Neurospora crassa OR74A: one gene and its partner. The protein of the gene in region 1 interacts with the protein of each later gene in a biochemical or structural test. Links are inferred from orthologs where the notes say so. Each region holds a gene or a part of one and is shown on either strand. Other genes may lie near its edges.

What was found.
Region 2: the proteins of NCU04090 (region 1) and NCU04388 form a complex in vitro, tested with the Saccharomyces cerevisiae proteins (2 studies listed by BioGRID). The link is inferred for Neurospora crassa OR74A from reciprocal best matches to the Saccharomyces cerevisiae genes NCR1 and NPC2.

The regions. Positions count from the first base shown.
Region 1 is NC_026506.1:2,707,681-2,723,829, reverse strand, and holds NCU04090 (niemann-Pick C1 protein), read left to right. Parts: upstream 1-6,730; 5' UTR 6,731-7,219; coding exon 7,220-7,489; intron 7,490-7,552; coding exon 7,553-11,122; 3' UTR 11,123-11,721; downstream 11,722-16,149. Other genes in the region: NCU04092 (N-acylethanolamine amidohydrolase), read right to left, coding at 606-2,337, 2,402-2,479, 2,561-2,628; NCU04091 (hypothetical protein), read left to right, coding at 4,612-4,716, 4,822-5,985; NCU04089 (pisatin demethylase), read left to right, coding at 14,508-14,813, 14,886-15,251, 15,317-16,149. UniProt on the Saccharomyces cerevisiae protein: Involved in sphingolipid trafficking. May recycle sphingolipids between cellular membranous compartments.
Region 2 is NC_026504.1:3,521,570-3,536,829, reverse strand, and holds NCU04388 (phosphatidylglycerol/phosphatidylinositol transfer protein), read right to left. Parts: upstream 3,569-15,260; 5' UTR 3,130-3,568; coding exon 2,927-3,129; intron 2,861-2,926; coding exon 2,644-2,860; intron 2,554-2,643; coding exon 2,440-2,553; 3' UTR 2,046-2,439; downstream 1-2,045. Other genes in the region: NCU04386 (hypothetical protein), read right to left, coding at 1-340, 414-677; vma-7 (vacuolar membrane ATPase 7), read left to right, coding at 1,417-1,476, 1,533-1,568, 1,635-1,772, 1,868-2,008; SET-4, read left to right, coding at 7,938-10,784; col-22 (fungal specific transcription factor, variant 2), read right to left, coding at 13,795-15,260.

The DNA of each region.
Region 1 (16,149 bases):
CAGAGGAGGGACAGTGGATGTGAAAGAGGAAGGTTCATCCGGAGGTGTAGAGGTATAGACGGTCGGGACTGCCCCCAATAGACAACAGGAAGTGGTGATGGGTCCAGGTGGCCTGCGAATTCGGTCATGCCTGCCTTCCTATTTTGATTTTCTTGCCCTGTGTTTGGGGTGCCACTTCCCCCTCGCGAATCGCCCACTGGTGTTCATCCGAACCGGTTGCTACAGTACCTCTATGCTGGATGAAGCTGTAAGTAAAAGGTAAGGTAGGTAAGTATCTCACTTCCGTCTGTTGAAGAAGAGGCTTGCGGTAGTAAGTACTGTACTGTCGCAGTAACGTACCTCGTGTAATTACCGAGCTTGAGATTCATCCCAGCAATGGTACATGTGCCTTTGTCAACATGGGCGGCATGAATGAAACTGCACTGACCGATAATGAATGCAAGACGTCAACATCTTGCTTGTTTCGTTATGTAATGCCGCTATTGGTGAATGTATCTGATACTACACGACATTCCACAGTCTCTCTCTAACCCCCTAGCCAAACCCTGCTCTCCAAAACAGACATCACCCCAATATGAACCTCAACCCCCATCTCCTCCCTCTACCTACCCCCGCTGTGCAACCTCCTCCTTGGCCTTCTTCACCACATCCACCCAAATCGGCGGCCGTCTCCTCCTATCAGCACCCGCCTCCTCACACACGGCTCCAAACTGCAACAGCTGCTCCTCTGCGCACCACTCTCCCATAGCCATCAATCCTACGGGCACCTCCCCTCTCCCTTGCACGTCCATATCGTTCACCAACCCCGACTCTGGACTGACAAACCCAGCGGGCACGGAGATGCTGGGCAGTCCACAGAAATTTGCCAGCCAAACATACTCCATGCTCTGCAGCGTTCTATCCCCATCATTCACGCCCCACTTCAGCTCGCTCTTGCTCTTGATCGGCAAGCCCTCGCAGCTGGTTGTGGGGGTGACAATTAACATTCCCGGGTATTGCTGCCACAGCCAGGAGAGGTGCTGCATCAGCACGCGGCGCAGCTTCATGGCTAGCATGTAATCAGAGGCGGGCGTGACGGTCCCAAGGGCAATGAGGATGCGGTTGCCGTAGGTCAGGTTGCCGGTTTCCGGGAGGAGGGTGGCGGCGTCGGTGAGGACGGTGATGGCGTGCGCAATTTGGCCCTCGGGAAGGAAGGGAATGTCGATTTCCACGGCCGTGTAGCCGTGGTCGGAGCAGAGGCGCCGGATCATGGTGTTGCAGAGGGTTTGGATGGCGGGCGTGGCGCGAGCGAACCAGGCGGAGGGGATACCGAGGACTTTGGGGTGGTCACCACCATTGGGAGGGCCGGTCAAGCTGAGGCGCTTCAAAGGAGGGAAAGGAGAGGACGGGTGAGGCTTGCAGATTACTTGAAAGACGGTGGCGAGGGACTTGATGTCCGCGGCGATAGGTCCGAGACAGGCGCAGGTCAGGCAGTGGTTTTGGCCGGGCTTGAAAGAGAGACGGCCGTGGGTGGGCTTGATACCAAACACGCCGCAGAGACTGGAGGGGATGCGAATGCTGCCGCCGCCGTCGCTGCCAAGACCGATAGGGATGAGACCGGCACTGACGGCATAGCCGGTGCCAGAGGAGCTGCCGCCTGTATAGTAGTTGGGGTTGTGAGGGTTTCTGGGAGTACCGTGAACCGGGTTGTTGCCGGTGGTGTCGAGACCGAACTCGTGCATGGAGAGCTTGCCGAGGATGATGGCGCCGGATTCTTGCAGCTTGCGCACACACCAGGTCGTGATGGAATCTTCCTCGTGAATGGTTCCCGTGTAGATGTTTTTCGAGCCAAGGTTGGTTTCGTAGCCGTCAATGTCGTACTCGTCCTTGACACCAGTGGGAACACCATCCAAGGGACCAAGAGAGCGTCCTTCCTTGTACCGCTGCGTCGAGGCCGTTGCCGCAGCCAAAACTTTGTCAACCTTGCTGTCGAACCATGCTGAAGAGTACTCGGTAGGGTTCTCGACGTCGCGGCGGATCAGGGGCAGCAGAGCTTGGGCAACGTCTAAGGGTGTGAGTGCGCCTGAGAGGTAGAGTTTCCGATAGTCCTCCACTGAGTAATAATTTGCCTGGGGATATCTGTGGCGGAGGTCGTCTCGCTTGGCCGCCTCAGTTTCCGGGATTTCGTCATCCGCAAGGTCATCCTTAACTTCATCGGTAGTCTCAAAATCTGGAAAGGGTACGATCTGAGGCTCAAACCATGGCTCATAGTCCTCAATATAGGGGCGAATCTTGCGTAGGTCGCCGAAGCCGGCGTTGCGCCATATCATCTCCCTGATAAAGCGAACATATTCCAGACTGCATGATCGGTGTTAGCTCAGCATGTACATAGAGCGACTCTCTCTTGAAAGGAAGAACTCACATGAAGGCAGCGGCGCAAATGATCCAGCCGCGAATGGGCGGGTTGGACTTTCTCTCCACAACATATGGAACATCCGGACTGTGAATACCAGTCAGCACGCCTGTTCGGATTTTCAGCGACGATCATAGCGACGGCCGCAGTATTGAAAGCTGAGCTTACCCTCTCAAAGGGTCTGGGTAGTTCAACAGTCTTTTGGACTGTGACACCGAACCCGTTTTTTGTGACATGATGCAAGGACCATGTAATTGGTGAAAAGTTCAGGTCGATGAGTGCTTGACGCTGCAAGGCAAGGAAAACTGCAGCAGAGAATGATGCGTATGCACACAGAGATATGCTGGCTTCTTCACGTGCTGGCGTGAATGCGTGATCGGTTATGATGGGATAAGGCCCGTTCCGTGTCCGTTTCCCCAATTTACCAATTTCGGGCAACAAGAACTTGAGCCTTCTGTTTCCTGTCGTCGATGTATGGAAACGTTTGGGTAAGAGCGAGTGGATGTCTCTCCTGGATCTTTCGGTTCAGTTCAGTCTGATGCTGATAGCGAACGGCGTGGCGACTCGTTGTGACTGGTGACTGGCACCACAGGAGAAAGAACGAAGGACACGTAGGGTGTGGGTGAGTAAGGTTCAGCGACAAGTCAACTTGGTCAAGAGACACCGCGAGTCACGGTTGGTGTTTGAAAAGAGACAAAGCGCGACGGACGCTGTGAACTTGTGTGCGTGTGCGTGTGTGTGTATGCAATCTCGCCGGTAGCCTGATCTTTCACCGTCCCTGCATGTTTCATCCTGAGGCTTCTACGGCAGTCTGACATCTGTCATCCGCTGCCTTTTGATATCTAGCATCAGGCACTTCGAGGATCAATCCCCATGTTGACTCAGGCATATGACATGTCTAGGGTCTATCATTGGTGCGACCATCGCCATTCGCAATGCAAGCGCTGTTGCGATGGCGCCTTATGAAGATGGACGCTGTGGAATGACGACGACCGGAAGCGGTCAAAGTCCGATTGAATGGAAGCTAGTGGAGGTGTGCCCTTCCGCTCGGACTCTTCGTCGGCCTTTATGTTCCTGACTCTCGGGTCCCCGAGACGTCCGAACGACAGCCGTGGATCGTGTCATCCAAAGTTTATATGTAGTGTATGGTAGGTACCGGTATCTGTTGTTGCTGTTTTGCACTATCACTGACTGACATATGGCAGCTGAGTCGTGATGCATGCATTATTCAAAAGCGAGCCGACCCGCCCATCCACACGGCTTATTCCATTGCTTCGTGAAATGTCAAGCAGTTGAGGCTCATCTCGCTGTCAACGACACTGGAGAATTCGGACACTATTGTCCACTATTTGAGACTGATACACTAGAAGGGGCTACAGCATAGCCACCTTCAAGTTCTCGCTACAATGGCAGATCGGCCCATGGACATGGTTGGTCGGTCGATGGTTAGGCCACCAGCGTGCTTGAGGTGCCCAAGAAGATGAAGACCCCGTCGTCGTTGTAAACTGATGAGCCTGCTGTCAACGATGGGATGAACCATGACCCAGCGGATTTAAGAAATGACTGTGCTGCTTGATAGTACGTAAGTCTGCAAATGCTGATTCTCTCGTCTCAGGTCAGATAGCATGAATCGAATCCATGCTGGGGGATCAACCTAACTATTGTTGACGACGTCAGAACCCGCGATGGGCCCCTGTTCAGCTCTTCAGCATCACAACCTGGAGACGGAAAGCGGATGATGACCCCGCCGTAGTCATGCGGGGTCTCAAAGCTGTTAATGCAAGATAAAAAGTAAGCCTGCTCTTCCACTACTGGCTAACGCAATCGTAACTCGACCTGTGTACCCTGCACTCGCAGACTGAAAGGTTCCCCTGGCTACCTATCGGGGCCAGTTGCTTGGTGACACCCTGGCGACCCCCGCTCCCACCGATTCACAGGAAAGCGGCCCAGGGCGAAAGTCGGGAAAGCGCAAACAGAAAAGCAAACGCTACGAGGTTTCTTTGGCCAATTTTGACATTGGCTCATCCTCAGGTTGAATTTGGGCACCTCCAGTCAACACAATTCTCACCTCGACACTGGGCCTATCTTACATACGATGAACAGTGAATTCCAGCCGTCTCGTCTTTTTTATCCACCTCATGTTCATGCCATAGCGCGAAACCAGCGGTATTCGATCACGCACATCCTTTAAGCGACAACCATAGGCCTTTTCACCTGGGATGGGGGGAAGGAAAACGAAAAGCCATGTGAAGCCATCAGGCTCTCCCTCATATGAGGGAAAGGCTCGGTTGGAGTCTGTTGACTCCCTTCTAGAACAACTCTTTGTAGGTTCAAGCCGGATTGGAACGCACAGCACTTATTATATCAACATGCCCCAAAATCATTCTTGCAAATAATCAATTGTTTAACCGTGGATTATTCAACTGCAGGAAGAGTTTCGAGATCTGGATCAGTCACTCATTCTTGCTATTACCCTGGAGCGAAACATCCAAACGGACTATGACGACATCAAGGACATTCTCAACACACTGGCGCAGACTGCTTCGTGTGAGGCCTCGACGTCGTTTGACCCCTCCGGAATGGGCATTTCTGTCGAGGGGGCAAACGGTGATGAAGTCGATCACAGCATCATGTCCGAGTCTTTGGCTACGGAAAATGCCACAACGATATCCGACTCCATCTTCTCCTTCGAGTCCTCCTCGTCGTCCGAGGACCTCAGATTTTGCGACTCATCAGACCTGAACGAGCTGGATAAGGTCGAGCGACTTCGTCTGGTGTTTCCCAACTTCAAGGAGCACACCCTCAAGTTTGTGCTTAAACAAAGCGGAGGCGACCTGGACAGGGCCTTTGACGATCTTCTGACTCGGCAACACCTCCACGAAACGGGCCAGCTGCCCAAGGGACTGGATGGCTTCCACAAGCCACAGGGAAGCACCGCAACCCGCAGAGGCAAGAACAAGTCCAAGGACCAAAGCAGCAAAGGAAAGGCAAAACTGGCGCTGAACTACGCAGTGGTATTGCCAACAGTGGACAACGAGGAGTTGGAGGGGGCTAAGGGACCCATCCGACCCTCATCGTCAACACGGCGCGGTGGCATGGCAAGTTCACAGGTTGTCACCACCTTTGAAAGGGCGTCTACCCTTGTACCAAGCCCAGACAGTGAGTACGGAGTCTCCAACCTCTACGCGCAGGCTTCGGCTCTTGCTCGCAAGGGACCCTTGGGACGACAAGGCGCCATCGTTTACACGGAACGCGCCCGGGAAGAAGCCCGTGCCGCTGCCGAAAGGATATCGCTGGCATCCGAACAACTAGTCAACGAGAGAAGCACATACTGCAGTATCGATCTACACGGCGTCACCGTTCTTGACGGAGTCCGCATTGCCAAGGAGCGAGTCTGGCGGTGGTGGAACAGTCTGGGTGAGCACCGCAAGTCCAAGGCCAAGATGGAGGGATTCACGGTGGTTACGGGTGTCGGTCGTCATAGTTCGGGTGGCGTCTCGCGTCTTCGACAAGCTGTGGGACTTGCCTTGAAGAACGACGGTTGGAAGGTCGAGACGTTGACAGGCCAGTTTTACGTCACCGGGAGGGTCTGATTGGTTTTGCCATGGGGATGAAGAGAGAGGGGATTATTTGCATATGTTGTCGCTGGGCCATTTTGGGTCATATGCCTGTTTGCAAGATAGCAGTATTGAACAGTTCATGGGCGTGGTTTTTGGAACAGCTGAGCTGGAACGTGTATTGTTTTGGTTATTTACTGCTTTGGCATGTGGTTGTATTTTCGCTAGGATGTATTGATGATGATCAAGTAGAGTTGATATCGGATGTATGCTTTGAAGCACATATCAAGTTTTGAGTTGCTCTTGTCATACAAGTTTCTGTAGAGATAACCAACTAGCTAGTGTACATCGATAGCTTGTACGTCGTCGTTGGTGACGGTGGCCAAGGACAAGTCGGAAGACGGTTCGACAAGAACCCTTCATAGTAGTAAATACTTGACCGCCTGCCGTATCCAGCTGCTAGCCAGGTCTTGGCAGGGATTCACAGCTGTGGACTTGTCCCGCGTGATCGATTCTCAGGGACTTGAGGGACTGCGTGAGCGTCGTGGCCTGGGCTGGCGGCCCCTACCACTGCAGTCGTTAGGTACCTTCCTCGACGGAGTTCTCCTCCCACCTTTTGCCCCAGTCCGAAAACAGCCAATCAGACACGGCAGAGCGTCTTAGCTGCCTTCGGTTGATGACGCATGCATACACTTCAGCTAGCCAAACACGACCACAGCGCTGGCAGGCACCCATCAACTGAAGGGAAGCCCCAGGGCCAGATCGGGAGCTTCCAGGTCATCCGTTTCATGCCTGGGGCAGGGCAAGTGCCAGTTTCCATTTCCAGTTCCAGTTCAGTTTCGCATCTCCAACTCCCATTATCAATAATCGGAAAACAGACGGGAGGTTCTACCATCGGGCCATCATCGCCGTCTGGGATTCTGGTCCACTACACCTAATCCACTATCGCTGGACCCGACCCGATCACCTAGGTCCTCTCTCTATCCACCGAGACATCGACAGTCAACAACAAGTTGAAGTCGAACAACTCGAAGCCACCATCACAACGAAGTGACTCCGAGGACCTTACCATACCTCCATCGCTGATCTGACGACGACTATTGGTATCATACCATATGCAACCTGATACATAGGTCCTGCATCAATCTCCCGGGAAGAGCGTTGGCCGGACCAACATTGAGCGGGAACTCCCCATCGCATCCAAGCCGCCGAGCGGCACCGGCAACGTCAATAATAGCGACGACGTCCTGCCCTTGATAGATTCTCGACCATGATAAAGCTATCCACGTTTGTCGCGGCCAGCGGCGGGCTCCTACTATCAGGTCTGGGAAGTGTCACAGCCGAGATATATACGCCAAAGCACGAAGCTGGACGATGTGCTATCAGAGGCCACTGCGGATCCAAGGGTCTCTTTGGAAGCCAGTTGCCCTGTGTTGACAATGGCTTGGCCGAGGAACCCGACGACTATCTCCGTCAACAACTAGTTGATCTCTGTGGCCCAAAATGGAGTACAGGGCCGGTGTGCTGCCTGCCTGAACAGGTAATCCCTCTTTCGGCTCGTCGGGTTAACCAAGCAAGATGCTGATATTGACCCTTACTGCAGGTTGACTCGCTCAAGTCCTCTCTATCGACAGTGAACCAGATAATATCGTCTTGCCCGGCGTGCAAGGACAACTTCTTCAACATGTTTTGCACCTTTACATGTTCCCCCAACCAGTCGCTGTTCGTCAATGTCACCAAGACAATTGAAAAGAAGGGCAAGGAACTAGTGACCGAGCTGGACCAGTTGATTTCTGAAGAGTATGGAACCGGCTTCTACAACAGCTGCAAGGACGTCAAGTTCGGCCCTACAAACTCGAGGGCCATGGACTTGATAGGCGGAGGCGCCAAGAACTACACCCAATTGCTCAAGTTCCTTGGCCAGGAACGCTTCGGTGGCTCGCCTTTCCAGATCAACTTCCCTGTCGAATACGCTGAGCCCGACATGAAGCCGTTGCCCATGAAGCCCAAGAAATGCAACGACGAGGACCCCAACTTCCGTTGTGCCTGCGTCGACTGCCCCGAGATCTGCCCCACGCTCCCGGACGTCGAACAGGCTGGGTCATGCCATGTCGGCGCACTACCGTGCCTGTCATTTGCTTCCATCTTGACTTACAGCGTCATCTTGTTTATCTCCATTGCTGCCGTAGTTGGCCACGTTGCCTGGAAGAGACATGCTAAGCGCAGGAGTGAAAGACTCCGTCTTCTCACTGATGCTGCCCCGAGCGACGACGAGGATGAGGGAGACTTGACCCAGAACGTGGCCATGATTGACCGCCCCCAAAAGACATACATCATCAACACATGGTGTGATTCTGCTTTCAGCAAGTTGGGATATGTCGCGGCCACGTTCCCGGCCATTACCATTGTCACCAGCATTCTGATCGCTAGTATCCTCAGTCTTGGCTGGTTCCATTTTGAGCTTGAAAAGAACCCGGCCCGTTTGTGGGTGAGCCCAACTTCACCAGCGGCCGAGGAGAAAGCCTTCTTCGACTCCCATTTCGGCGCCTTCTACCGCGCTGAGAAGGTCTTCCTTGTGAACGACACCCAACCCTCCGGTCCTGGACCCGTCCTGAGCCGTGATACTCTTCTCTGGTGGATGGATGTCGAGAAGAGCGTTGCGGCGCTCAAGGGTTCCAATTATGGAAGCAGTTTCCAGGACCTGTGCCTCAAGCCCACTGGTGATGCTTGCGTTGTTCAGTCAGTTGCTGCTTACTTCCAAGACGATCCCGACTCTGTTGACCCAGAGACTTGGCAGAGCACGTTGCGGACTTGCGCCGCGTCCCCGGTGGAGTGTCGCCCTGCATATGGACAGCCTCTTGACCCTAGCATGATCCTTGGCGGATACCCAGAGGGCGGCAACGTTGCGGAAGCTTCAGCTATGACTGTTACCTGGGTGTTGATCAATCCTTCTGAAAACTCTCCCGAAGTTGACCGTGCGATGGACTGGGAAGTGGCACTCAAGAATCGACTGTTGGAAGTGCAAGATGAGGCCAAAGAGCGCGGTCTCCGCCTTTCCTTCTCTACCGAAATCAGTCTTGAGGAAGAACTCAACAAGTCCACCAACACCGATGCCAAGATCATTGTCATCAGCTACATCATCATGTTCTTGTATGCTTCGCTCGCTCTTGGTTCTACTACTCTGACCTTCAAGGACTTGATTCGCAACCCGGCTGTCTCGCTGGTTGAGTCCAAGTTCACACTCGGTATCGTGGGCATCGTCATTGTTCTCATGTCGATCACTGCCTCGATTGGTCTCTTCTCTTGGGCTGGCCTGCGGGCTACCTTGATCATTGTCGATGTGATTCCGTTCATCGTTCTCGCTGTTGGTGTGGACAACATCTTCCTGATTGTTCACGAGTTTGAGCGTGTGAATGTTAGCTACCCTGACGACATGGTTGAGGCACGGATTTCTAGGGCTTTAGGACGGATGGGCCCCTCGATCCTCTTCTCGGCCTTGACCGAGACGGCATCTTTTGCGCTCGGTGCCTTTGTCGGCATGCCGGCGGTGAGGAACTTCGCCATCTATGCGGCTGGAGCTGTCTTCATCAACGCCATTCTTCAAGTGACCATGTTTGTTTCCGTGCTGACGCTGAACCAGATCCGCGTTGAGGATTCTCGAGCGGACTGCTTCCCTTGCATCCAAATCAAATCTGCTAGAGTCCATCTCGCCAGCAACGGTGCAGGTCCGGCCCCGGTCTATCTTGAGGCTCCCGAGGAAAGTTATCTCCAACAGTTCATTCGCAAGGTTTACGCTCCTCGCCTGTTGGGCAAAAAGACCAAGGCTGTCATTGTCATGATCTTCTTGGGCGTGTTCGCGGCTGGTGTTGCTCTGATTCCCGAGGTCAAGCTGGGTCTGGACCAGCGCGTTGCCATTCCAGACGATTCGTACTTGATACCTTATTTCAACGATCTTTACGAGTACCTCAACACTGGTCCGCCGGTCTATTTTGTCACCAGGGAGTTTAACGCTACTGATCGGGCGCAACAGCAGAAAGTCTGTGCCCGCTATACCACTTGTGAGCAGATGTCGCTTTCGAACATCTTGGAACAGGAGAGGAAGCGGACTGAGGTCTCTTATATCTCGACGCCCACTGCCAGCTGGATTGATGACTTCTTCCAGTGGCTCAACCCCGAGAACGAGAGGTGCTGCATGGAGCGGCGGAGACCCTGCTTTGCGAACCGGACGCCGGCATGGAACATTACTCTTTCTGGCATGCCAGAAGGTGACGAGTTTGTCTACTACTTGAAGAAGTTCCTCAGTGCGCCAACAAATGAAGATTGTCCCTTGGGCGGACAGGCTTCGTATGGCTCTGCTGTTTTGGTTGACTCGGACAGGGACACCATTCCGGCCAGTCACTTCCGTACAAGCCACATCCCGCTCCGCAGCCAAGAGGACTTTATCGACGCTTACGCCGCTGCCCGCCGTATCGCCAATGAGATCAGCGCCGAAACAGGACTAGACGTCTTCCCCTACAGCGTCTTCTACGTCTTCTTCGATCAGTACGCCAGCATCGTCTCGCTCACCGGCGCCCTCCTTGGCTCCGCCATCGGCATCATCTTCATCGTCGCCTCCGTCCTGCTCGGCTCCCTGGTCACAGCAGCAGTAGTCAGCTTCACCGTCGTCATGGCCATCGTCGACATTATCGGCGCCATGGCCGTCATGGGCGTCTCCCTCAACGCCGTCTCGCTCGTCAACCTCATCATCTGTGTCGGTATTGCCGTCGAGTTCTGCGCCCACATTGCCCGTGCCTTCATGTTCCCGTCTCGCTCATGCATGGAGCGCGCCAAGAACCGCTTCCGTGGCCGCGACGCGCGCGCGTGGACTGCTCTCAGCAACGTCGGTGGCTCCGTCTTCTCGGGCATCACGGTCACCAAGCTGCTCGGTGTCTTTGTGCTCGGTTTTACCCGTAGCAAGATCTTTGAGATTTACTACTTCCGTATCTGGGTCGCTTTGGTCATTTTTGCCGCCACACACGCGTTGGTCTTCTTGCCTGTGGCGCTATCGCTGGTCGGAGGCGAGGGGTATGTTGATTCTGAGAGCGATGGAGGGTTGGAAGAGGATTTGGCGAGCCGACGGTATAGGGCTTTGGTGCCGGATGCTGATTCGGAATCGGAGGACGAGGGATTCTAGACTGGCCTTGCCAGAACTCCTAGGGGTGTTGTACGAGAGGGAATAGATGGGCCTGTCACCACGTCAAGAGATGCTTTGGGTAAGGGAACTGCTTCGAAGGGGCCTGCCCACGTTGAGCCCTTTTGGGGTAAGGATCATGACAGCTATTGCTCAAAGATGGGGTATTTGATATATCTGAAAGGAGATATGGTATGTGGCGTTTCAATGATGGAGATTGGAAGGTTGGATATTAATATGGAAGGTGTACTACTCAGGGAAGCAACAGCAGAGGACTTTGCGCGGTGTTATTGGTAGAATTGTTCCAGGCTTCTCTGGACTTGTTTGCAATTTCCCTTTCTTTTTTATGTCGTTATGCATTTGGGTATTCTCTCCTTCCTTTGCAAGGGAAGGGAGTCGTGAGAACGAGTTTATGATTTTGCATGACAAAGCATCCATCGGTTAGTACATGTAAGGTATTACGATTAAGTACAATATAGGAAGATAATGTACGCTGGATTGATGGGCAGGAAGTTTGCGTGTCTGTTTTTGTGGTTTATTCTGACGCGTATACAGTTGTTGTCATAAATAGATTACTTGATCGAGAATCTGTGTCGAACCCTTGTCTGTATGTTGAGCGATGGGGAGAGGGGAAGAATGTTCCATAGCACCCCATGGGGTTTATGAACATAATTCCTGGGATGCCCCAGTAACTGTGTGATAATCCAGCCAAAGCTAGATTCTGAATCATGGTTTCCATGCACCATAGTTGTTTCCGGATAATTCCAGTCCATGATCTTGCTTGAGAAGGGACTGTCCTCTAGATCTATTTCACAGTTTTGAATTGAATGGGAAGGGGGTCTCGAGTTAGTCGCTTATCAGTAAAGGCGCAGTAAGTGCGGGGATTGGACAGGATCTGATAGCGCAAGAACACACCTTGGCTACGTTCTGTTAACACCTTGGCCGAGCTTGCTCCAAAGTACTTGCTGTATCTACATATCCATGCGGGGAGGAGAACACGTTCTTCAGAGGATTATGCTTTTTCCTCCTGCTTAAAGCCTGGTCTACATTTACTTTTGCTTGTTCGAAGCAATCGTTTTCCACAATCACCATTGCCGAACGTCTATCATCCCAGCCAAGAATCGCTGTTTGCAGATCCGGAAACACAAAGGGTAGATTCACATCTGCCGAAAGGCCACCTGAGTCCTTCTGACAGGGGCCATCCACCAAGCTTCCTTTCGCCGCCTCCTCCTCCTCCTCAGCTGCAGCTTACAAGCGCACCAAGGGAAAGATAGCAGGCCACTTTGAGAGCATGGAGGCTGCTCGCAAGGCGCATGGAAACCCTTCCCGAATCCCGAGAACGTGGCGACAGGGTATCATTCATTGTTGTTTACGAGGGCGGATCGGAAGCGTCGTGAGTTGTAAGTTTGAGGTCCATTGTTTAGCCAAGTTGTTGGTGAAAAGTTACCTCAAGTTGGACCTTCTGAAACTCTCGTTGGATTTTCCTGATGGAAATTTCCCCCTTCAAGATACTGAGGGTGCCTTTGCTAATAGATTTATATAGTCAGGACTGGAATCTTCGTCGGCGTACAGAACAGACATCAATATGGAATGGTTGCTTCCCGATCAAACCCCACTGTCCCGATTTATACACTACACGGAACAGTTGCTGTTCCCGAGAGGCTACACTGAAAAGGCAAGTGTGTGGGACGTGGGAAGCAGATCATGAGGGACGTTCAGAATGGAGTCTGCCGAGCGCCCCGGGTTCACCGCCGCCAAGACGATCCCTTATTACCGGACTTTCAACACGACCAGTTGCCGTGTCTTTCCACAACTGCCTTTGGGCCACCGAAACCGCTTACGTCTTTGTACAGGACATATCCGGGAACACGGTGGTCGAAAGCATGCATCCGGCTCCCGTATCTTGATAGGACCTTGCCAACCTTCGCAAACTGTCGCAGTCAACGATTGGATATGACATCTGCCGATGGATATTGGCTCGCATGTGCCCCTCCCCCCTCCCTAGGCGTTGGCGTCACGCCCCCACTACCACCACCAACGGCAGTGATGTTTGGTCGCGCCTGTGGTGGTAGTGGTCACAACGTAGGTGTTTGCTCAGCTACCTCATGTCTATGCTTAGTCGGTGACTTCCAATTAAGGCTCCGGTTACGGCTTCCACTTACCACTTACACGTACATCACTGTGTTGCTTTCATCGCAGACTACCAGGCAAGCATCGCAGAGGTATATTTTACATCCACACGGCTTTACAGACGAGAGACACATTTCAAACTACTATTCAATTCCCGATATCCTTTGATCGTCCCGGTTGAGGAGGGTTGTAATCCGCCATTCACTTTATATGGCATACTGCATCTCTAAATGGAAGGTGATGGGCAACTTGGTTGGTACAGTACCTACACCTATTCCAAGCAATGAAAGAAGAAAGGTTGTATACATCCAGCAGCCCTGTGGCAACCTTTTCCATCGCATCTGTAGTCATAGGTGAGTACTTGGCTAATCACCCTCCACCAAGCCGGTTGACCAATACCGTGTAATTCAGGGGTGACTTGATACACCCTTGACTCCTACCTGGTTCTCTTGACCCTCTTCCTTGGAGAGATATATCGTATACACCGCAAAGAAAGTTGACACTTTTCAGATATCGAGACAACGAGTATCTTCTTTTGTCAAACCAGTCATTAACAGAAGTGTGAACCTAGTGGTTCGCCTCACAACAATTCATCTCCGTTTGCAAAGTTCAGTTGTTTGTTCGAGCTGATATCTGCCTATACTGTGCGTGGAATGGCTCGCTTGTTGGAGGGCGAGATATGTAGGATGTCCCTACACAACATGATGATGTAGGACCACCGGGCCGTCAGCCTCTAGGGGACTTCTCCGCCTTGCTTGTTGACATATCGAGTCTATCCCAGGATTGTCGGGCATCGGGAGATGCACGGGGGAAAACTGTCGGGGTAGGTTTGCATGGGTGGGAGATCAGCCTCGGACTCCTATGACGGCACCTCGGTACCTACCTACCTACCCCAGTTTGTCTTCTTCTGGGACGCGGAGATCCTCTTGTGTCTCTCAACCCATGTCTTGTGTTATAAGAGCCGCTTACATATGCCCTCCATATGGGTTTCTTGGTCGAGCAGCAGTCACATATAAGCTCATTCGACACGGCTTTTCTTGTTGCTTTGTTTATTATCTGTTTATTCCACTCAATTCTAGCAATCTTCTTTTGGTTTTCTTCATCCTCCACCTCCCGAATATTAGGTTTCAACAACCATAACACAATCAGACCACGCTACACTTGGTCATAGAGAAACAAAGATACAAGCTCGAAGCCTCAGGGCACCGCTACATACGCCTTCCTCTTCTCGTCACAATAGTTATCCGTCCGAGTCAAGATGATTACAGATTTGATAATAAAAGTGCTGGCACAGCACTGGCCAGCAATACTTTGCTTGGTCCTTGTGGGATGGCTGGTCAGGAACCGATATCACAATGGTCTGAACAAATATCCAGGCCCGTTCCTGGCGTCGTTGACGGACTGGTGGAGGTTCATCGATGTGTATAAGCGGAGACCAGAAGTTACACACATTGCGCTTCACAAGAAACATGGCCCTATCGTACGCCTTGGACCCAACACCTTGTCCTTTTCGGATCCAGAGGCGATCAAGACGATATACGGTCTTAACAAGGGGTTTGTCAAGGTGAGATTTGATCCATGAAACGGCCTCAACCCAAAAGGGGATATGGAATGTTCACTGACTCTCAACAAACAGTCCGACTTTTACGTTGTCCAACAATCCACTGTCAAAGGCCACAACCTCCCCTCCCTCTTCAGCACAACCGACAATGAATTCCACATGCAATTCCGACGCTGCGTCAACTCTGCCTTTGCCATGTCAGCCCTCGTCCAGTATGAGCCGTTTGTCGATAACACCACCAAGCTCTTCCTGGAGCAGACCGAGAAGCTGTACGTCGAAGGAGGGGAAAAGGCGTGCGACTTTACCCGCTGGTTGCAGTTCTATGCGTTCGACGTCATTGGTGAGATAACATACAGCAAGAGACACGGGTTCATCGAGCACAACAAGGATATCGATGGGATTGTTTCGTATCTGACCAAGCTATTCAACTACGTTGCTCCCGTACGTCTTTCAACCAACCTCCTCCTCTTTCTTTCCTGCCAAGTTAACCTAACTCCGTGAACTAGATCGGTCAAATCCCCCTCCTCGACCGGCTCTTCCTTAAAAACCCTCTCTACCTCAAACTCTCCCAATGGGGCCTCATCGACGGCACCATGCCCGTCGCCGCCTTTGCGCGCGCCCGCATGGCCGAGCGTCTTCCCGAACTGCAAACCGAAAAGACAGCCATCTTGCCCACCTCGGAGAAACAAGCCCAGCTAAAGATCCAAACCCCCGACCTCCTCTCCAAGTTCCTCGCCGCCCGCTCCGCCCGCCCCAACTTCATGACCGACACCCTCGTGCAGACCATGGCCGTCTCCATGGCCTTTGCCGGCTCCGAGACCACCGCCATTTCGCTCTCGGCCGTGTTCTACTATCTGCTCCGCACCCCGCGCGCGCTGGCCCGTTTGCGGGAGGAGATTGACGAAGCGGCGCGCCAGGGCAAGTTTAGCGATTACGAGACGGGCCTGGTTACGTGGGCGGAAGCTCAGACACTGCCGTACCTGGATGCGTGTGTGAAGGAAGCGTTCAGATTGCATCCTGCGCCGGGGTTGCCGATGGAACGGGTGGTTCCCCCCCAGGGGATGGAGATTGTGCCGGGGCAGTTTGTCAAGGGGGGCACGATTGTCGGGGTTAGTGCGTGGGTTTTGCATCGGGATGAGAGCATCTTTGGAGAAAGGGTGGAGGAGTTTAGGCCCGAGAGGTGGTTTGTGGATGAGACGGTAGCGAAAGAGGATATGGAGGGGAAGAAGAGAGAAGAAGAGGAGAAGAGGATCAAGACGATGAATGGGCATATGCTGCAGTTTGGGATGGGGAGCAGGACGTGCATTGGCAAGAACATTAGTTTGTTGGAGATTTATAA
Region 2 (15,260 bases), on another chromosome or scaffold:
GGAGGAAGAGCATGTAGATGAGGACATGGCCGGGGCTGAAAAGGCAGAAAATGCGCAGTGTTGCCGGGTACGGATCCCAAACGGCCACCTCCCAGACGTCGCGTGTCTTGTCAGGATGAGCGCGCGCCTCGGCCGATTCGCCCTTTGCAATGTTTTGGATATATCGAAGGGGCGTTGGGGTGGACGGCGAAGAATCGACTCGGACACGATGCGCGGAAGGGGTTGAAGGGCCTTGAGCCTCGACGTTCGCTTCGAAAAGTCGGTAGTGGCGCGATCGGGTCATGGTGTAGAAGGCATTAAGACCAGAGATGGGGATCAGGGTCCAGATGAGGAAGTTAATCTGTCGCATGCAGTCAGAACATCGTTCACTATGCCGTACAGGTCTGTCCTAAAAGTAGTGAAGCCTAACTCACCAATGCCTTTGTAAAGCCGCTGGAGGGAGCATCCGAGAACACATCATCGTCGACAAGCTCTCCACTAATGTTTGCGTTCGCTCTCGCAAGTAGGAAGAGGACATTCGCAATCAGACCGAACCAAGTACCGAAAGTGGTCGAGTCCCAATCGAAGCTTTGGATTTCCTCCGAGATCCAGATATAAAAGTCCATAGGGTTGAGGAAGGCCTGTATCCGCTCGGATAGCGGGCGCCGCCGTACCAGGCGACGAGGTGTTGGAGGCATGTTTGGATTGCGATGATGACGATATTGTTTGGTGATGACAGATTGCGACAACGCAGAATCGATGTTTGGGGCCGCCTTCCCACTCGGTGGTGTTTTGGTAGAAGATACGAGAGGATTGTGCGCAATGATGTGACGGTCTTGCGCAGTCCTTAGTTGTGTATCGTGTGGTGAAAGGGCACCGGGTTGTGCCCGGATTGGTTCTAGGTAAGGTTGGTCAAAGAATGAAGATTTCTTTTGTTTACTTTTGCATTTGCGTTGCTCGGGGCGCGGATCGAGAATGGATTGGAAGAGCTCTCCCTAGGTAGGTCATGGAAATTGACCCCGGTCGCAGTCAAGGTTCAACCAGTGGCAGGCGAGGCGCAACCTGAACCGAGAATTTAGTGAGCCCCAGCTGTGTCAGTGGAGTTTTTAGAACCTGGCATTGCTGAAAAGAGGGGTCGAGTGGGTTTAGCGCGGGCTGTTGACCGCGAGTGGAGCCCAGTTGGATCCAGCGGGTGCGGCTAGGTTGGTCAGAGCTCCAGTCCGTCCCGTCATCCTGGAGTACCTGGATGGACGACGACAGCCGACGTCGACATCAATCGATACGACCACAACCGCAACCGCCGGCAGGCTTCGACATTCCCTACCGACGCTAATACAAACACACATTTCAGAAGATTTACTCAAGTTATTGCCAGTCACTCAAGTTTCTATCGTTGCATAGCCCTCGTTCCCCGACCGATACCTGACCCAGCCTATCATGGCAACTTCCCAAGCAGACGCTAGGGACCGTCAGTTCCTGGCTGTAATTGGAGACGAGGTGAGTGTGATTTTGCAACTAGGTCTACATCTGTCAAGGAGCTAACAATTATCTAGGACTCCGTCACGGGACTCCTCCTTGCAGGCATTGGCGTAGGTTCCCGTATGGTCCTCGGATGATATGCGGTAGCGGAGTTCTAATACGCACTCGAATCGTAGCACGTTACGGCTCCCCCAGATTCGCAAAAGAACTTTCTTGTGGTGGACAACAAGACGGATAACGCTGCTATCGAGGCGGCCTTTGACCGCTTCACAACCGAGAGGAAGGACATTGGCATTGTTTTGATTAACCAACATGTAAGTGCGGGTCTTGGTTCAAAGGGGGGGCTTGTGGGGAGATATTTCTTATTGACAATTCTGGATAAAATGGGCAACTGACGTGGAAGACACAGATCGCTGATAGGATACGACACCGAGTCGACACTCATACCGCGGCCTTCCCTACCGTTCTCGAGATCCCGAGCAAAGACCACCCTTACGACCCTGAGAAGGACAGTGTTCTCCGCAGAGTCCGTCGTCTGTTTGGTGAATAAACGTGTTTGGCCAGTTTAGCATGGACATAACAAACGGGGAATGATACGCCACGATGGAAGGAATGGAAGCAGTCAGGTTCATGGGGGCATAGCGGAATCAATGTGCCCACGACATCACAGCGGCGGCGCGCAATGCGGGGAACTCAGAATACCTATAAAGAAGCAGAACGACGGGAATGTTTCCTCAGATATGTTCACGCCTAAGCATGCTTAAAGGCAGAAACAGTCTCAAAAACCAACTACTAAACGCGAAAAACTCCAGTACTACCAAAGCAAAACCCATACAAATGCTGTTGCCGTGCAAGTGCCATCATCCGATTCGGTGCCAAGAATGAGTTCATTAATCCATCATGCGCAGTATTCATCCAAGGTCTAGATTAAACATGCCATATCCGTTGTTAATCGTCAAATCCGCTCGCTCTTCACCCAGATCAGAGATCGTCAAGGAAGCCAAGAGTCTTGCGACCAAAGAAGACGGTGGCGGTCAAGCAGGTGATGTGCTTATCGTCGCTGTTGTAGACATCGGCCTCAACAGTGTACTTGCCCTGTAACCATCAAACCGTCCATGTCAGCGAATATTCCCATCAACGACAGCAGTATTGAGAGAGGGGGAAATTGGGCAATAAAGAACGTACAGGTGGGATCTCCTTGGGCAGCTCAACGTTCTTGGTAATCGAGAGTCTGCCCTTCTTGATGGGGCATTCGAGCTCCACGTTCTTCATCTCCTTGCACAGGTCGGCAGAGGTGTTGATCAGGCGGATGTAGCCATACTTGACTTGCAAGTTGACGTATGCCCCTTCCTCGATGGCCTCCTTGACGATACCAGACGCCTCGATTGTCAGGGTCTGACCGCTGTATGTGACAAACCCATTAGCTTTCTGTTTCTGAACATGGTAAGATAAGAGACATGTGACATACGCCTCAGGAGGGTTTGGTGTCAATATGACCTCCTCGATGGTAACAATGTCATCTTTGCGATCGGCCGCAGCGTCACAAAACCTCAAGGGCGACTTTCCGGGAACATCGAGTTCATCGTTGGCAGAGACGCTGTTTTCGCGATAAACGCTAAAAGCGGCGGCGCTCGTGGAAAGGAGAGCGATGACAGCTGCGGAAAGCCTCATGGTGAGTGATGGTAGCGATTTGTCACGGTCGGTGTTCGGTGCCGAGATGTGTTATGGAGACCCTGGAGAGGATGGGATGTGGTTGAGAAAGCGGGGAATATAAACGCTGTCCACCGCCGAGACAGTTACCGACAGTTCGTTGTGTTGAGTTGCGGGATGTCGGCCACAGGGATCTCACGAGTCAAATCGGAATGGCAGTTGTTTACAAAGATGGATGTCGTCGTAGATGGAGACTCCAAATGATACCTCTGATACCAGGAACGAAACAAGCCACAGCAACTGGAAGCGGAGGCAGTCAACTGATGGCGAGCGAGATAATGGGCTGGCGTGACTGGCTGGGTGAGGTTGATCCTGGCTACGCAACCAACCTGCATCAGTAGAGATGGACCTCCACAGGAGCCAGGTCACTGGTTGGCCCAGTCGATAAACACACGCAAACACTCCCGCTTTGGCACTCTGCGCAGGCCTCTCTCACAACGGAACAAGCGAGAGACGTCATTGGGGCATGACGGCGAATGGCGGGTTCGATTTGCCCCAGCCTGCAGCCATTTCCCCAACTTTCTTTTGTCTTGTTTACCTAGTCTTATCATGTGAGTCGGAGCGGATCCACTTATATGTGAGCTGGACCAATCACGACTATTGAGCTACTGCGGCGGCGCCGTTTCCTGAAGCATCGAGTTCTTGGTTCCCAGCTGCTGTCGAAGGATCTTTCGACTTTCATCGCTGGGGTAGGGAGTGACGAAATGTCATATCGGTTGCCCATTCTCAGGTTACGTATACTACACTCAGCGCACTGAACGACACATAACGCTGCATTTTTTTAATTGAATTACATCCTTTCTGCCTTCGCGGCATGGCATATGGGCGTGCTTTTTGAAACCCTTCAGTTTAGGGGTCGCTTATACTCGGAACCCTGGTCGTCAATTGTGCCATTTCGAACATGGCGTTTTTACCAAACATCGAGATCAGAGAACAAACCGACGGACTGTCCGAAATCGCATACGTGGTGCTTGGAACTCAAACATGGGTTTCCTAGACTAAGTTGCGGGAGCGTTGGGAAGTTTGGTTGTCCCTGCGTGACAACTTCGGCTATGGGGGCCGTTTTGCTGCGATAGTCCTGCCGAAGCTGCCATCATTGATGCGCCTTTGTGGAAGAAGTTCATGTCGCCCAAGAGATACAGTTTACAACAATGGTTGGAGTCTTGGAGCAGCGGCCATGTTGTCGCGCAAACTGGAAAGCAGATAGGCAGCGTATCTCTCTGGCCTCGGGCAGATGTCAGACGCACTGATTCAGGCTGGGTCAGGGATTATTGATATGTGTTTCCGGGCGTATCACTGAAACGGGAATGATCGGGACGACGAGTTTCGCTCAGTCGTTCGGCGGCTTGCAGTCGTCTTGATCGGTTTCGGGGTTGTTGGACGAGGTAATTATGCGATATGTCAAACAAGTTGTTGGACAGCAATCAAAGCCAGATGTGCCTTTTCACACAGGAGGTGTAAGACAGAAGAGAAAAGAAAAGAGGAAGTAAAGCCCAAAGGGCAAGCAAGTGAGTCGTGACGGACGGGCGTATTAAATGGAGAAAGGGAAATAAAAAGGAGCAGATTGCATAGTTTCATGTGAATGGCTGCGCCTGGTTGAAGGGTCCCACCGTCCAACGTGATGAGAAAGACATGACAACATTGATTGGAGCGAGTAGCAACTGCAGCAACGCCGAAGCATTGCAGCCACACCTTTGTCACGCTCGAAACCCACTTTGTACGAATAAGCACTAGTGTCAACACTGCTCACGGCTTCGATGATTCGCTCAAATCGACGCTCACCAGCCAGCCAACCAGCCGTTTCCCAACACTCAACAGTGCGACCGAAGTGACCTTGTCCGAGGTTGAGCATGGGCGCGCGTAGGTAGTGTAGATCGGAGCTGGTTTCCAGCAGAAGACGGATCGTCGAACGACACACAAAGCGCCATGGTAAAGGGCATAGCTTATCAATCGTGGACATTGAAGAGGACGGGATTCAAAGGCAGTGCTTATCGACATCGTCTTGGGTTCAATCGCTGTGACATTGGCTGTTTGTTGGACGGTGGTTGCGGTTGGATGACACCCATCTCGAATCTCCGACGCTCACCACTCATCTTCGTCCTAGGCCGAACAATAACTGAGGCGCAGATGCACGCCCCTAAAAACAGGAGTTCAAAGTCCTGGGGCTTTGAACGCAATCTTTCCAAGAAGCAGACATTCCAAAAGGCATCGTCCTCATGTTGAGACGCATCCGTCGCGCTTGAACGGATTGTCACCGGCATCAAGAATGCAAAATATAACACGATATTCGACCCGAGATACCATGCAAGGCATGTACACTATAGAGAGAGTACTGACATCCAAACCCGCCTTCTTGTCATTGTCGCTGCTGTCAATATAGCCGTGGGCTTTTCCCGTTTCCGGAACACAACCCCGTTTCTGCTGCCCGCTGTGGTTATCATCCAGTGAGCCCAGGTACCTGACCTCCTAACCACCTACTACCACCACGGTAGATTGACTTCCGCGACGCGGCTCCTAGAGTTGTCCACGCTCCGAGGTGCTGCATCACGTCTGGATACCCCATCTCCACGGGTAGGCCTCCATAATCCACGATAGGTGGCCATTGCGCACATGGCCTTAATGAACCGCCGTACAAGTCCGTTCTGCCTTCGGCCCTCGCGGCGCGCCTTTTCGTTGATGGAACCCTCACCTTGCACAGTCGCACGCACCCCGCCCTGGCCTCTTTCCAGTTCGCTCTCAGTCCCTTCCCTTCGTGGTTTCCTTTCAGGCCCCCTCCTCCTTGTCCCTCTAAAGACCCCTCCACACTGGCTGGCTGCTCGATCGACATTTCGGCATGCAAACATTTCAAAGCTGCATGCTTTTACTTCATACCATGTCGCATATCAGTCACAGTACTGACGTTTCTTACCATTTCCATTTCCTACTCTTCTCCGCTGCCGTGAGCTTAGTGGCTCGGGCCGGACTCTTCGGTTGCGTTCTTTTTCTTCGTTGATATCATATGGCGGCTGATGCCGTGGGGACCTTTTTTTTTTTTTTTTTTCGATCCGACAAAACAGCCAAGCGTCGCCTACAAAACAGCTGCTTCCTTGGTTGATGGCCCCCGCCCACAGTGGCTGCTGCGAGCTACCAAGGCAGTCTAGAAACACATCGGGCAGAGTAGAAAGTGGTTGCGCTAACAATTTCCCAAGACCCGCCGGGTACCGTAGGGCGAAAAAGACACGCAGCAGACGTGCGAAACAGCTGAGCGAAACACAAGCTGGAGAGCAGAACCAGGAATCCAAGGAAACAAGACCGCCGGCAGCACGTCCACAGTCCACTTGCAGCTTTTATGTCGCCCGCACCGAGGACGCTCACTGCACACAACCTAACAAGGCCCAAGGACAACCCAAGAACTGGACAGGTTCCGATTTGGGGGAAGGCCTGTGCCACGGAGATTTCCACGGCTGCCGAGGGCTGTTTCGTCTGATTGGCCCGTGCTCCTGCTGAGCACTGCAGCGTCCCTCCAGTCTTGCCCGTCCTGGGGGGGTGCCCGTGGTTAGGTACTCTTGCCCGACCTAGGTACTGCCCGCCTCTGCCCTTTGCACAAGAGAGAGCGTGAGAGGGCCACGCATTGGCAGTGGCTGAGGTCAGTGGTGAGTTCCCCCGGTCCCGGTCGCCGTCCCGGGCAATTCCCATTCCCATTTCCACTGCCACCAAAACGAAAGGTGCGCAACCAGAGAACTTGAAGCACCTCAGCTGCAGTGCTGCGACCGACTGCGACAGGCGAGACTGCGAGTGCAGCCCGCCCGCCTTCCTTCCCGTCTTCTTCCTTTCTGAGATGACCTGCCCCCAAAGCCAGACACTGCCAGAGCGAGGGGCCCCAGAGAGGGCCGCCCGCGCGGGCACGGCAGTGGACAGAGCGATTGCAACCAGCACGCCAGCGCCAGTCCAGCCAGAGTCAGACCTGAGTGAGAGTGCAGGCAGGACTTGAGAGGGCAGAGGGCAGAGTTCCCAGAGTGCGAGTGGGCCCCCCTCTCTCCCTCGCACTTCCACTTTGCACTCGATTTCCCATTCCTCCCGTCCCCTTCCACTTGAATTCTCTGGTCTCTTTCTTGGATCTCTTGCCCCCCCTTCGTTTCCGACACCTGCCTACCTATTCATCTTTCACAACAGTCTTGACCAAGTCCGAACCGACTTTCCATTTTCGCGCACATACGACTCTGCCCCGGCCGACTTTACCTTTCTTCAGTTCGTTTCGTTCCTCGCGGCGCAATCTGTTCCCTTCTCGACAAATCCATCTCGTCGTCGTCGTCATTCACCACTGCGTTTCTCCTCGCTTTTGGGCTTGACGCTCGCCACTCCTCCTGCGCAGAAGAACACGATCCAGATCCCGAGAGCGACCTCGACCTGACGCCCGGCTTATTCCTTTTCTGGAGACTTGGTCTTTCAATCTAGGCCTCGACAGTGATTGACGCCGCCTGGGCTCTCTCCTCAAATTCTCGAATTCGACCTTCATCATCAGTTCCGACGTGTTCTTCCGCCCGACCGAGCGTTCCGCTGCCGACTTGTAACCCTGGCTAGTCCATACGACAAACGGGCAATATAATCCAAGGCTGTCTCCCAACGGATGAAAGCCCCGGCTTTTTCGTCAAGTTGTGCTCGTCTCTCTGGTCAGAATCAATTGCGTTGGACAGCGCGCCAGCATGCCCTTCGACCTAGAAAGATAACCAGTCAACAACACCCTCCCGATATCCTACCGAAACCGCCGTCCCGAGGTCTTTCCATAGATTATGACCGACAAGCTGCCGTCACTGCTGACGCCAATCGCGCCTCCTAGTCGGACTTCATTCTCCGTCTCTGCTGCCGTTCCTGTCCAAGATGGTATACGAGCGCAGGAGAATGTTGAGGAAGAGCCGTACACCATTAGGTGTATCTGCAAATACCCCGACGATGACGGAAACACGATCTACTGCGAGCTATGCGATACGTGGCAGCACATCGAATGCTACTACCCCAACAACTCTGAGGATGCTCTCCGCGATCCAGACTTTGCACACTTCTGTGTTGAGTGCCAGCCAAGGCCCTTGGATCGGGAACGAGCCAAAGAAAACCAGAGGCGCAAGCTTACAACGGGTGTCACTGAAGGAATGGCAGACAAGAAGAGCAAGCGTCCTATCTCAAAGAGCCACAAGAAGAAGCCGAAACCGAGCGACCTGCCATTGACTGGTCAGCACTCGAAAGCCGAAAAGCAAGCCAGCATCCAGGACAGCCATCCTCCAACAAAGAAATCGAAAAGCTCGCACAAATCTAGTCATTCGGTTAGCTCACAGGCTGCGAAACGCAGTCCACAATTCGGCAGCACCAAGTCCAACCATGCTCATCCTCCTAGTCCTGCGGCGACGCCACCTGACCTGCCTGCCGACTTTGAGATACATACCTATGCCCCTGCGTTGCTATCCGGCTCCAGTGACCGAGGTGTTGAGATTGTGCATACCAACAGTTTTGCTAGCCTCCAGGTGTCAAACGCCATCTCGGCTTGGCTACGAGACCACAACAAACTCCAGAAAGAGACGGGCTGGGCCTACGCTGACATTTTTCAGCCTCTACCCCCAAATATTGATCAGCTAAAAAGGCCAGTGGATATTGAACTTTCCCGGAAGACACTCGGTCAAGGCACCGTCGCGTCTTGGAAGTGCCTCAAAGCGCCATCGGCTATTGCTCATAACGTCCCTCTTGTGGAACTGAATGGGCAGATCGGGATTCAGAGCAGTTATTGCGCAGATCCCGATAGCCGGTGGCAAGAGCTGACGTCCCCGCTTCCTTATGTCTTCTTCCACCCCATGCTTCCCATTTATATCGACACCAGGAAAGAAGGATCCCAGGCTCGCTATATCCGACGAAGCTGCAAGCCTAATGCCATGCTCGAAACATATCTTTCAGACGGCTATGAGCTTCACTTTTGGCTTGTAACCGACAGGCAGGTCGCAGCTAGGGAAGAAATCACACTGCCCTGGGACTTCCGATTCCCCAATGAGAATAAGTCACGGATGCTCCGGGTTCTGGGGCTCAGTGACGAAGACACTTCAGCCCACGCCGAGTCTTCTGTTGACGATGGGGAATATCAGGCACTTACGAGCTGGCTGCACAACATCCTTTCCGAATATGGAGGCTGTGCGTGCAACCTTGGATCAGAATGTGCATTTGCCCGCTTCCATCGGAATCATTTGGGCAAATCACAGGCGCCAGCAAACCCACCCAAGACCAAGAAGCGAAAAAGCAAAACACAAAGTTCGTCCACCATCGGCACAGGGCCAGCAACGGACAGTCGAGCAGCTAGTGAAGGCCACCTTGAGGATGCTCCCGAGAATGATCGCCGATCAGTGTCTGGCTCAGCACGGAGCAAGCCTCCAAGCCGAGACCTCACCCCCACGGCCCGCCAGGGATCATTCGACACTCTTGGGATATTGACAGAGCCGACCGATCGGGACAAGCGGAAAGTCTCCATGATCGAAGAGACCTTCCGCCGGATCGAGTTACAGCAACAACCTACCAAGAAGCGGAAAGCACGCGGCTCTGATGCAGCTACTACCTCCAAGAAAGGTAGCAAGAGCAGCGCTACAACCCAGACGACAAATGCGACGAATGGACCCGACGAACGCCACTGCCACTTTGCCAATGGTGAAACAGCAATCACCAGCAAAGCAACATCACCAGCAGCAAGTGCGAAATCTGGTCGGGTCACCAAATCGAAGAAAACCAGTTCGAGGAAAGGATCTGTTGCCGTCGTTTCCCATCCTGTTCCTGCGCAGCCAGTCCGTTTGCCGTCTCGCCCCAAGTATGCCGATGCTGGTACTCAAACGAACCCCGACACCGAGGCCAACCCTGCACCCTCGCCGGCACGACCGAAAAGGAGGTTGGTTTCGGTGACGATGCGCATCATGCAGCATCATCGCTGGCTGAAAGAGCAGCAGGGCAAGCAACGACTGCTCAATCAGGCGGTTGCTACTGTCCCAATGGATGTGGATAGTCCAAAAGACAACAAGGCTGTGGTTTCAGTTGCTGGTTCGGTTCAGGATACAACTTTGAAACCCAGTGCACCAAGCAAGGTCACCACAAGTGATGTCGAGATGCCCGACGCGCCCACCGTATCAGCGAGTCATCTGAAGGCTGCCCAAAGTACTTCTGTCGTTACTGCGCCAAAGAGCAAAGTCTTGGATCTGAGGGTTCCCATGCCACCTGTTCCGCCCTTTCCAAGTTCAACCTCTTTGGCCTTGACCTCTACCACTTCTTTACCTGCAGGGACTTCGGCGGCTCAGTCATCATTTTCCGTTACTGGTCTGCCAAGTCCCCTGGGGCCGTCGTCTATCAATGGTCTGACTGCAAACCCAAGCCCAATAAAGAAAAAGTTGAGCTTGAGTGATTACACCAAAAGCAGGATGAACAAAGCTGCGGCAGCTCGCCCATCGGTTAGTGTGCCCTCTCTGAAGCCCAATGCTGCTTTGGACGAGCCAAAGTTGACCACCAGTGACGACAATGGTGGAGCTGCTTCTGGCTCCCCAACCACGGAAAAGGTGACTGATACGACTGGCTCGACCACAGCCGCTTTGGCCTTGACAACTGCAAGCAGCTCTGTGTAACAAGTATATAGACTAAGGTCTTCCCGTGTATGGATTAATGGTGGAGGATGTTCTCAAGTATTTCTGTTAGCGGCTTCTTACTCGGTGTCACTCTTGAGACCTGAGTCATAGAACCCCGACATTCGAGCGAAGCAGCCAGGTCGCTGTTAGGTCCGGGCCGATTGCGATATAAAGTTTTATGGTACTTTTACGTTTTTTTCACAAAATGGGTTTGGCGGCTGGTGATATAATTAACGTGGCGTTTGGGATATTTCTTTCCTGGTCCGGGAAACTGAGTTTTGTGGGACGGCTTCATATCAAGCCTTGGAGCCCCGTACTGGTCGGGAGTTTTTGTGAAACCGGGTTGGGTTGGGTTCACAGTGGTTGGTCTTCCATGATATGGGATGGCTGCCTGGTTTTCGGAGGGGGTTATTTATTTTGTCTGTTATGCTTGCGAGGAAAGACAGGAAGAGAAAGATGAAATGATCAAAATGGGAAAAGCACAACACCATCACATCACTGGATTTCTTGGTCAAAGTCATTGGATGGGTATGTCAAAGGACATGTCTCAACCCCTTTTTCCCTTGCCCAATCTTGAACTTCGTTCTTACTTTTTTATCTTCTTGTCCTCTCTTTCAATCTCTCACTTCTTTTTATGATGACCAATGGATGGATGGACGGATGGATGGATGGATCACGGCTTTTTTTTCTATCTACGCTACTACGCTACTCAAGCAATAGTGATAACGCTTTGCCAAGGCAGTTGAGGCACTCATTGAATCTTTGAAATGTTTCAAGTAGTTTACGATACATTTGCTGTATTTTCTTGATTTCGTTGGTCAGAACCTCAGGCATGTGTCTTGATCCTCCTTTGTTGGCATGGAGAAAACTAGTCATTTTGTCCTCGAAATATCTTCTGCTCTGTTGCCATTTAGTCAAGAGGGCTGGGGAAAGGAATACTACGAACTTTCTGTACATGACATTCAGTCACGGTATCCCCGAGCCACCTATATATACACCACAAGCCAGCCAGCCAGCCACCCAGCAGTACATGTATAAATATCCTGTTTGCTCGATGAAATGTTGTTGCTAGCTGTTACGTTTTACTCGCCTAAAATACATACATAGTTATTCATGTAGCTTCACAATTCCTACCGTGAATCCCACGTGTATACAAAAAAAAAAATACAAAGTGTCTACTATATAACTTACAAATTCAGTATTCGTATTATGCCGGACCAAATCTCGGATACCAAGTAAGATTGATAACACACACTTTGCCGGTTCCAGTCTCAAGACTAAAGATGCTCAGGATGTGTACGTATGTGGTCTTCTATATGCCTCGGGGCACAGGCACAACATACCATGATACTATAGTGTAGTGCGTCAATCACACCCCTTTTTTTTTTCTCCTTTTTTTTTCTGCTAACATAGCGGGGAGTCTGGAGGAGTTTTCTTTGTTATTTCTCGGTGGCTTGAAGAGGGGCTAGCTAACCCGTGGGTATATATATTGTACTGGTATGTCCGACTCTACACTCGGCACCCGAATGTATGTGGGTAGATATGACGCCGTATTTACTTGCTGAAGTTCAGCTAAAAGAGAAAAAGAAGAGAAGAAGAAAAAAAAAGAAAAAAAAAAAAAAAAAAAAAAAAAAAAAAAAAGGCTTATCCCTCTTCGAGCGCCCGACAGAAAGCAGGAAAAAGAAGCAACATGCTTCTTTACATTTGAATATGTCCGCTCATTTAGTGAAAACCTTTTAATGATGCACGATACTTCCTTCCCCCCCCCCCCCCCTTCCCTCCCCCCTCTTTGCGTCTTAAGGCACAGAGGCTCGGACTTGGGCGTTACAGAACTGCTAGCGTCCTGTCTGATATCCAGGTTTTTCAGGCATTACCTCTTTTCTGTTTTTTTTTTATGGCCATTTTACTCAGTCACCAAGCGGAGATATCAGGTTTAGGTACGGACGTACATGGACCAAAAGAGAATGAATGGGTGTATAGATGGATGTGTAAATACAATGTTCGAAAGACTCAGGAGTGCTTGCTGCTATTCTATTTCTGGTCCTTAATCCTGAAGTAATCAGAGATATGAACCATCGTGAGCTCAAAATCGAGAATTGATTCTTCGAGGGTTTCGGGTTCCATTCCCGTCTCCTTCCTAGTGAGATTGAGGGACAAGTGAAATAAGTCCTCAACCGCTCCAACCATAGTCGGACTTGATGTATGGTAATAACCTTGTAAAAAAGAACGGCAAATGAGTCTTGGCAGCACAAAAAGAACTTATTCGGGAAGAAGGAAATGGAGTCTATCATCATCCAGATAATTTCGAATATATAATCATGTTCAGTAAAGACAAGAAAACTGGATCGTCCTAAATGTGTGCCAATGAGAATTCGAAAATGATACCACCGAAGAGCGCTTTCGGTACATACGTCCAAACGACCTACTGACAACACTCAAACAAACCTGCACTACCAATAAATGACCAGACCCAAAAACAAAAAACATGCGGACTATGCAACCATACCAACGGAGGTTCCAAGCCTTTTCTTTCTAGCTTGCTAGATACAGATGCACACGCAGGTACTTACTAAACTAACTTCCGCTTGCACAAAGCACACTACCCCACGTAGAGCAAACAGCTCATACACACAGGACGCAGTGTCTTATCACCTTAGACATACATACAGTTCCAGACTCGTAAGCTGTTGTTATATATCACTCAGAATGTTCCTCCACCGGTCCATAGTTGTTGTCCCTCAATTCCTCCTTTTGTATGCTCCGATTGACCTCATAACCACAATGTACCTCAAGCTTCATGATATAATCGGACAAATACCCCTATACTTAGCTTTCGTTACCTCGTACTTCTAATCCTTGAGAGGAGATTCTCACTCAGTTAACCACACTTAACAAGCCACCCAACAAACATCAACACACCAACACATTCGACCAAACGTATTCGGGGGGTTTATCGGGGGTATCACTGTTCTAAACACAACATTTCACGTCGCCTATCTCCTAGCCTCCCTTACTGATTCCCCGGACCCGGTTGATGAGGGTATTGCATCTGCGCCGAGTAATTCGGATTGAACCCTCCGAAAGAGCTTAATTGCACCAGATAATTCCAATCCATCTGCGAAATGTCGAGATCCATTGAGCCTGCTGACGGTGGCGCTGGCGCTCCAGCCCCAAACATCTGGCCCATGCCAGTATCGAAGCCTCCGTTGGGCGATCCGAACATCATCGACTCGTTCATCATCATGCTAGCTGAACCCATTTGCGGTGACGTATCAGTCTGTGGCGTTTGCTGCATCGGTTTGGGTGTCGTGTACATTCCCGCCTGCATGCCGACGCCAGGAAGCCCATGAGGGCCTGCCATGCCCGCCATAGCAGGAGGCATGGATGCCGTGGGCATCATTCCTGGCGGCGTAGCCGAGTTGGCCACGGACTGTCGTGGATCCGATGACATGGACATGCTGCCACCAACACCGCCGACTGGACCACTACCAACTTGCGGAGGACTGTTTGGTCGTTTGAACTTGGCTGCCGTATTGCGCATCAGAGTCACTATTTTCGGCGTCTGTAAATGACGTCCAAGTTGGTTCTGCGCCGCCTCGTGGGCATCCCAGGCCTTAACAAAGAAGCCGCCGAGAGCGATATGCATCGGTGTACGCAAATTAGATGTCAAGCCACGGCGTTCCAAGTTCTCGATCATAAGAGTCCAGGCACGCTCGCAGGGCGCACCAGTCGTGCGCGTTCTCAGATCCTGTACAAGGAAAATGTAGGCCGGCAACGGAAAGTTGAGCATAGTGTACCACTTAAATCCTTTCAAAGCCTCATTGCCCTGCAACATGTTGTCATATTCAACCATCAGCATGGCCTGCTCAAAAAGTGCGTCTCGTTCATTGTGGTCCATGACACCCTGGGTGGCTTCGCGACAGAGAAAGTCAATAACTCGGAGTTTGCCGAGCGCTTGCCTTGTCACCAACAGGGTGAAGAAGTGCAGAGGTACCTTGGGGTCGCAATACTTGAGGTAAGCATTCTCCATATACGTGCAAAAACTTTCCAAATCGCGCGGCAAATTGGTGTTTGCAACGTGGGTAACAACATCTGGTGACGCCGGAGATGGGCTGAAATGTACTCGCGGCTGCGTGACGCGAGTCCCTCCAGGTGTAGTCACGACAGCACGAAGTCCATTAGGCTCCGCGGCAACCGTTAACTCAATCCGGGTGAGGGTGAATAGCATTTCGGTCGGGCCGGGGTATTGAGTCGGGAAGTCCTTTCCGTGGAGGTTGAGATCCGAGTCGTTGATATTTAGGGGGAATCTGCAATCACCGCCGCAGCTCGATAACGCGGTAATGGCCGAACCAGTGATCTCTGCTATTCGCTTGTCCAAAATAACAATCTGCCACCATAGACGTCTTCGTTGCTCCACCTCAAACGGAGGTAACCGAAACTGTTGTCCATCCTTGTGAATGCCCATCCGGGTCGCAA